Linked DNA regions of Ovis aries. The protein of the gene in region 1 purifies or fractionates together with the protein of each later gene. This does not show direct contact. Links are inferred from orthologs where the notes say so. Each region holds a gene or a part of one and is shown in the gene's direction. Other genes may lie near its edges.

The links.
Region 2: the proteins of STX6 (region 1) and STX12 purify together in Homo sapiens (affinity purification with mass spectrometry; 4 studies listed by BioGRID and IntAct, counting the BioPlex papers as one, with this or other methods). This does not show direct contact. The link is inferred for Ovis aries from reciprocal best matches to the Homo sapiens genes STX6 and STX12.

Annotation. Positions count from the first base shown.
Region 1 is NC_056065.1:61,535,932-61,540,322, reverse strand, and holds the start of STX6 (syntaxin-6), read left to right. Parts: upstream 1-1,582; 5' UTR 1,583-1,809; coding exon 1,810-1,844; intron 1,845-4,391. UniProt on the Homo sapiens protein: SNARE promoting movement of transport vesicles to target membranes. Targets endosomes to the trans-Golgi network, and may therefore function in retrograde trafficking.
Region 2 is NC_056055.1:239,301,141-239,304,955, reverse strand, and holds part of STX12 (syntaxin-12), read left to right. Parts: intron 1-1,485; coding exon 1,486-1,585; intron 1,586-3,815. UniProt on the Homo sapiens protein: SNARE promoting fusion of transport vesicles with target membranes. Together with SNARE STX6, promotes movement of vesicles from endosomes to the cell membrane, and may therefore function in the endocytic recycling pathway.

The DNA of each region.
Region 1 (4,391 bases):
CACAAATGAGTGACTGAGCACAGTCTGGCTGCAACTATGACTCTTAATCTTTATTCTCATCTTCTCTGCAATTTCCATGTGTTTGTTGAATGAATGAAAAATGATTGATCCCTTTTGAGTTCCCCATCTCAATATGTTCAGAAGCAAAACAGTTCTCTTCCAACAGCTTCTTTTCCCCTACATCTGACCTCCTTCAGCTGCTCCTCCAGGGTCTCAGAGAAGCCTGGAGTCTGATTTTCACCTCTCTCCCCCTTAACCCCATTCAGCCTTTCACCACGTCTAGGTGTTTTTGTTTTTCCTTGGAAATACCTATCAGATTGTCTGCTTCCTCTCCATTTACAATTGCTCTGCTGTCCTATTCTGGTCCTCAGCCCTTCAGGCTGGATGACCACAGCAGCTTCCAGACTAGTTTCCCTGACTTCACTGCCTTACTTCCTTGGGGCCTTGGGGTTTCCGTGCATTTTTATTTAACCCTCACAACGATCCACAAGCTAAATATTATTGTGCACGCTTTATAGATGAGGGACTGAATAACAGAACTCAGGTTCAAACAGGATTTGTCTGGTTCAAAGGACTCTTCCATCTCCAAAAAGACTGGTACTTTAAGCAAGTCACTTAACCTGCAAGAGTCTCAGATTTCTCATTTGTAAAATGGGGATAACAACAGTAATTACCTCCTGAGAGCAACTGAGATAACACTCGCACAGTGCCTGACATACAGGAAGTGCTCAAAGATAATCAGCAATTAATGTTCACAAACCCCATAGCATATCTAGCATATGAATTTGATAACTGTTCTGACCAAAATACTTTTGGGAAGTGCTTTTGAACCATTTAGCTCAGAAGAAGTTGCCATATCTGGCCCCTCCTTTGTCCCTCAAAAGTTCTTTCTCCTGGGAAGCATCACATGCTGTATGAAAAAATTATCTTACTGGTCACTTCGAGAAAGGTACACAGCAATAGAAAACACAGCCGTCTGGTGGAAAGTGCACAGATTCTCTGATTGCCCTGTCCAGGTTGTATCTCGAAGCCTCTTTGAACTTTTCTCATCTACTAAATGGTAATAATACCTTCCCCCCAAGAATATTGAGATGATGTACATACAGCCTTCAGCGCATTGTTGGATATAGTAAGACCTACATAAAGTTGTGCAATATAGTCAGATAATGTATACGAGCAGGCTTTATTGTAAGTGGAGGACGAGATGGATTTCTAAATCAATATGTTTTCAAAATCAAGTATCAAAAGTAGAGGAAAGGTGAAAGAATTATGCAAAGGAGATACTAATGCATACCTAGGACACCTGAATGCCTTTCCCGCGTAGGGACAAGCAGCTCCGGCCCCTGAATCCTGAGGGGCGAGTGGAGAGAATACCCGCCCTCTTCCGCCGCCCCCAGAGCCCCGCCTCCAGGGTCGTGTGACAAGGTGCCTAGGACCCGGCAACGAGGGGCGGGGTCGGCAGTGATCACGTGTGCACGGGTGCGGAAGTGGTGCGGCGGATGGCGTTCGTGATTGGCCGAGGCTGAGGAACCTGGGGGCGGAGCCAGGCGGCCGGACGCTCCGGGAGGAGTCGGGGGAGGGTACAGCCGCGGGGCCGGCTCCAGAGTCTGGATTTGGTCTGCAGTGCCCATCGAGTGCTGGACCAGCGGCTGGCCGGTGCACCCCGCCCTGCGCGCGCAGAGGCTTCGGGACCCTCAGGCCGAGGCGCGGGCCGCTACGCGAGGCGCATAGGGTGGGCAGAGGGAAATTTGGAGGGCGCGGGCGCCCTGTGCGCGGAGCAAACGTGAGGCGGCCGGGGGCCGGGACGCCATGTCCATGGAGGACCCCTTCTTTGTGGTGAAAGGGTGAGTGTTGCCGAGGGCTCCACTGGAAGAGGCGGTGGCCGTGCTGCCTGCCCGCACCTCCCCGCCTCTCCTCGTTGTAGGGGGGATGGGAGGCAAGTAGAGGCTGGCGTGGGGACAGTGGGGACGGCTTAGCCTGGAGGGCCATGATCAAGTGTCCAGAGACCTCCCTTTCCCGTCCTACCTGAACTTTGAAACCCACGCCCCCAGTCAAGCCCCTGGGAAGGGGGTCCCCTTTGGCCTGTGCGCTGCCCTATAACTTGTTTGAACGGGAGGAGGGGTTCAGCATTTCTGCAGGTGGGAAGGGAGCTTAGGCGTCCCAGACCAAACTGGGGCTTTAGTGGAGCACGGGGCCCTGCTTCGAAGGGGGAAAAACAGCATCTGGGCAGGAAAAGGGAAATGGCCCTCCTGAGCTTTGTAGTTGGCGTAGACGGGGGTGAGCTCCTATTGTCCATTGAGTTCGGAGCGCTGGCCCCGCAGACTGGTGAGACCACAACATGCCCAGAGGCGTCTGAGCACGTTAGCAGGCTTGGAGGCGGGGGCGCCTGGCTCCGGAAGACGACTCAATTCAGTGGGGGAGTTTTTACTGAGTAATGGGAGGGGAGGAAAGCAGCCGTTCAAACTCAGTGATGATGTTGGAAGGAAAACAAAATGAAATCAGCCAAACTAAACTTTCCTTAGCTTTCTGTTAGCACTGGGTTTTTCCCACAGTGCTAAAGGAAATGAGCGCTTGCTTTTTAACTCCCTGATTTCATCCAGGCTGTTTGACAGGTTTCCCCCATTTCTTCCTCTGCCTTTCAGACTCGAATAGCCTTAAACTTATTTTTCTCTGTGAGCTGTCGTGACTCCATCTTTGATTGCTCAGTTGTTTGCAGATACCCAGAAACTTGGCACTCTGTTACATAGGCTTTGTAGCCATTAAACAAATTCAGGGAAGATGGATCTTGTTGTTACAACTTTTGTTTTAAATGTCAAACACGTTAAAAATTTGAGAACTGCAAAGTTCCTGAGAGATCAGTGCTAATCACCCTAAAGTACTGCTTTGCTTTCAGCTAGTTCCTAGCTCCCTATTTCTATTTCTGTAAGGGTAAAAGCTGACCAGTTGCTTGAGGGTGTATGTGATTTTTTTTTTTTTAAAGGTTCTTCTAAGAAAATTTAAGTGATACTCTAGGTGAAATACTTTATTATCCATGATACAGTAAGATACATTTATATATATTTTAACATTTCCCTAAATATTTTTGCCTTTACCTGACTTTAGGTGGGAAAATCTGAGTTTAGATGATTAATAATACATAGATCTCTACCTGGAAAATGTTATTAGAAGAATTGATTTTTTTTTAGGGGTTAATTTTTAAATGTGAAAGCTGTGTGTTTTTCCTTTAAACATTCTTAATTCTTAGGTTTCAAAGGTTATGTCTGGCAGTGGAGGCTGTAGATAATCAAAATTTTTTGTTTCATTTTAAAATGGAATTTGTGAAAATGCTAAATTGCTCTGCCATCTTGACTTTTTTTCCTGATAGTACAGTTTGCCAGGGCTTGCTCACTGATTAGATATCACTGCTTTATTGGAACATTGGTCAGGAGTCTTGTTTGACTTGTACATTGTTTTAGCTCATATCTTTAAGATATTAAAACCTTTTGCTATGGAGAAGTAAAATTAACTACATGTCTCCAGATAATGTGGTGAAATATATGGGGAGCCATGTACCTCTGTTTATTAAAAGTTTTGAAAATACACTCACTGCATGATGTGGAAAAATGAAAGAAGCCTAAATTGTGACCTTTAGCCTAGGAGCTGGTAGTCTAATCTGAGAAACAAGTCACCCAATAATTAAGTAGAAATGACTGGTGGAAATGGTTAAGTGCTGAAGTGAATCCTACAGATGATTAAGTCCCCTAGTAGTTTGGAGAAAGGCATCCCATTAGGACAGGTTACAATTGGAAAAGCTTTGGACGTAGTAGCAGGTCTTGAATTGGGTTTTGAAGATGGGTATCACTTAGGTGATTCAGTCCTGGGTGTCTTTCCTGGACTCATCAAGAAGAGTTTCTAATTGGTCTTCCTGCTTCCAGTCTCTTTCCTCTTGCGTCTGCCTTGGTTTTGTTGGACGAGTGTTCTCCAGAATGCAGTGTGAGCCACACATGCCATTTTACATTTCCTAGTAGACACAGGGAAAGTGAAAAACATGTAAAGTTAATTTTAATGTCATCGATAACCTGATATAGTCAAAATATTTCAACATGATAATTATAAAGATTATTAACGAAGACTCTCACCCTTTTTGTGCTGTCTTCAAATCTGGTGTGTGTTTTACACTTACAGCACATCTCAATTTGGATGCTGAATTTTCATCAGAGACACTTGATCTGTTTTTAGAATCCGTTAAACTTACAGTTGAAAAAGTAGATTCACATACCCAAACTGTTCCAAGTATATTTTTAAAATTTTTGGTAAGTGCATTTGAGTATCAGTTTTAAATTTTAAATTAATTAAAATTTAAAACTTAGTGCCACAGTCAGGCTGGTGTAGTTCGGCAGTCACATGTGGCG
Region 2 (3,815 bases), on another chromosome or scaffold:
ACTCTGCTTTTCTTCCTCCCTTGGACTGCTTAGCAGAACAATTTAGGGAAGTAGAGAGGGAATCCCTACCACTCTTAAACTGCATTCTCCCTACATGAGCTTCCTTGTTGGCACAGGCCTCCTGATGATCTACAGTGCTTGTCTAATCTGTTGGATTTCCAGCTGTATATAATATTAAAGAAGTGTATTCAGAATGACCCGAGGAGAGAATAGTGGAATAGCTTCTTTTTATTATGTCCTCCTTGACTCTGTCTCTGCTCTTATAAGTTCTAGTTTTCATCGTTAACACTATTTTTGTTTCCTGTCCTAGACATTGGGAAGTGAGAGAATCACTTACTGTTAGTACTTTGAGCTTTTTTGAGGGAGACGTGAGGTAGCTGTGGGTATGTTAGTACTGTCCATGATGCTCAAGCTTCGGATTGACTCTTTTTGGGAGCTTTTGTTTTTTATTTTATTGTTGTTATTTTTTTTTGCTATACCATATGGCTGGTTGGATCTTAGTTCACCAAGCAGGGATTGAACCCGTGCCCTCTTCGGTGGAAGAGGGGACCACTGAACCACCAGGAAATTCCCATTTTTGTTTTTTGGTTTTTTGACTCCCTGTTGGTTTTGACTCTCATGGTTTAAAAAATTTTTTTTGGTTTTGCTTTTTTTCTTTTTCCTTCTATCTTGGAGACCCCTTTGCAGTGAAAAAATATTAGTAATTAGTAGTGTGGTTTCTCTGTCCTCCCTTAAAACCTTTGCAGAAATGGCCAGATAGTAGGAGAAACCATGACTGAAAGGAATCTTTTTTGTATTTCCAGTACCTTTCAATCCCACACATTTTTCCCTCTTTAATTTCCTTTCCCCTCTGCTCCTTACTTTTTTTTTTAACACAGTATAGGGCTTCTTTGTTTTGGAGGAAAGAGCCAGAAAGTCAAGCATAAAGCATAGGTAGGGAGCCAAGGATAAAGCTGAAAAAGCACCAGCTTTAAGCACAAACGTGGGAGTTGATCTTCGGAGGTTGTTCCCTAGGGTAGAAGCTATGCTTCTAATGCACATTTCATCCAACCCCCAGTGCGTGGATTCTGTCACTAGTCAGTGGACTGTGACAGACAGTAACCATGCAGAACTTGGGCAAATCAGCGTGAGAATTTTCAGAGAGAGTTCAGCATGTTAAAACTATTAGATTGAGGTGTAGGGGCAGCTGCTTTTGTATTTCTATCAGAACTGCTGAGAATGCTTTTCTTTTCTCCCCAAAGAATTAAAATACCTAATCAGCAGTTTTCATTGAGGTAGGTTCTTTCTACTCGGTAACGTGAAGACAACTTGAAGTGAGTTTGACTAGGTGGTACTTTTGGAATTTTGTTATGAACCTGAGCATCTGGGAACCCATTCCTTCAGGTGCCTTTTCATTCCCTGCATCTTGAGATGCTCTGAGACCAGACTGATCCTAACAGCTCTCAAGAAGTGAGAATATCCTAAAGCACATCTTTTCTCTCTTAGGCAACAGTTACAACACTCTACAAATCAGCTTGCCAAGGAAACAAATGAATTACTGAAGGAACTGGGGTCCTTGCCCCTTCCTTTATCTACTTCAGAACAGGTTGGTATTTTCTGGGGTTTTGATTTATTTATTTTGAATAAGAAAAATATTGTTTTTTTTGGAGAGGCGGCATGTGAAACAAACTTGGCCTTCAAACTGAACCTCAATTTCCTTATCCATAAAATGGATAAGTATCTACTGTGACAACAGAAAGAATGCATGTACCAGATCTTGCAAGGTATTAGTAGGTACTCAATATGGGTAGCTGCTGTGATAATTAGCAATAATATATTAATATATTAGTAAAATGGGCTTAACTGAAGAAGAATCTCAGTGTTTACATCTTACTGGGATTTGATTAGCAGCTTTATGCTTTCTGGCTTGATTCTAGTGTGCTTGTGTCCAGTATCTATAAATTTCAAGCAAATGTCTTTTTTTACTTTGCAGTCACTTTCATGTCACGTTTTTGTAGGTTTCCAGTTAAGGAAATGCTCTGAGAAAGATTTCTCTACTCAAGTCATTTTCTTCAGTGACCATTTATATCCTTTAAAGACACAGTTTCTATTGGAATTCAATGTTCCCTTGATATGCCATGCCTTTCCTTCACTTGTTCTTGAAGTCAAATGTGTCCCTTCCATTGTAGCTTGACTTTTTAACCTACTGTTCACGGTCTGCCTCACATCCTGTCTCTTCTAGGACAAAAATCTTCTCTATCTTAGACTATTGTGATTTTATCTTGCTTTAGTTTCTATACCATTCATGGGAGCACTTAACTTACATTGTTTTTTATTAGTGAATTTTTAAAAATAATATTTCATCTCTGATGGCTATAAAGATGAAGCCTACCATTTCCCCTTCCTGGGTTGTCTGTGAATTGTAACTGTTGGAACATAATATAATTTTAGTGTATTGTGATCACCATTTAAAAGAAATGAAACAGAATAGAAACATCAGAGTGTGTAACCATGTAATTAAGGGAAATACTGTTACATGAAACTTTTGTTTCACACATATGTGTATATATGATGCTAGGTCAAGATGTCACATTTTTATTCTGGATCTCCATTTAAAAAGTTTGAAAATTGTCAGTTTAACTCATTCCTGGCAAGGCGTTTAATGAAGTATGTGTTCAGTCTTTGGATTTTTGGCCTCCCCTTGCACAAAAGAAAAGAACCAAAACCAGGTGCTTTGTCATCCTGCTACAAAGTAGTCACCTTAACATAATCACCCTTTGACTGCCTGTGTGCTGTTTGTGTTGGTTGTTTCTCATACTGGACCAGTTCTCCTTGCCATTCATTCTTTCAAATTGTTCCCAAATCACCCCTTTCCTCTCCCAGCTGTCCACATAGGGAATACACACTTGTAGATAGTTTTAGCAGTAAAAAAAAAAAAAAAAAGGGAATCTAAGAGTCTGATGTCAACAGAATGTGCTGCAGTCCACGGGGGTCTCAGAGTCGGACATGACTGAGCAGCTGAACAGTAGCAAAGTGTTAAATAGAAGCATAAGCAAAATAGAAAGTTCAATCTGCTTAAAAAAAACTAATATATTCCAAAATCAAATAGAAATTATTTTTGGATTATGCATCTTCTTGTTTCCTTCCATTATCTTGGATCATTCAGTTCAGTTCAGTCGTTCAGTCATGTGCGGCTCTTTGTGACCCCATGGACTGCAGCTTGCCAGGCTTCCTTGTCCATCATCAACTCCCGGAGTTTACTCAAACTCATGTCCATTGAGTCAGTGATGCCATCCAACCATCTTATCCTCTGTGGTCCCCTTCCCCTGCCCTCAATCTTCCCCAGCCTCAGGGTCTTTTCCAATGAGTCAGTTCTTCACATCAGGTGGCCAGAGTATTGGAGTTGCAGCTTCAGCATCAGTTCTTCCAATGAATATTCAGGACTGATTTCCTTTAGGATTGACTGGTTGGATCTCCTTGCAGTCCAGGGGACTCTCAAGAGTCTTCTCCAACACCATAGTTCAAAAGAATCAATTTTTCGGTGCTCAGCTTTCTTTATAGTCCAACTCTCACATCCATACATGACTACTGGAAAAACCATAGCCTTGACTAGATGGACCTTTGTTGGCAAAGTTTGAATCATTAAGAACATAAAACAAATCCACAGAGGTATTATCTCTGGTGAAATATAAATCCTGGATTCCCTTCTTCCTATTGTGCTGAATATTCTTTTCCTTTTCAACTGTTTCTTTATCTAATTAACCTTAGCCCTGTCACTCATCTTTTTGCTACTGGACTATCAAACCATACATCGTACTTTCACATTTCTTTCATAC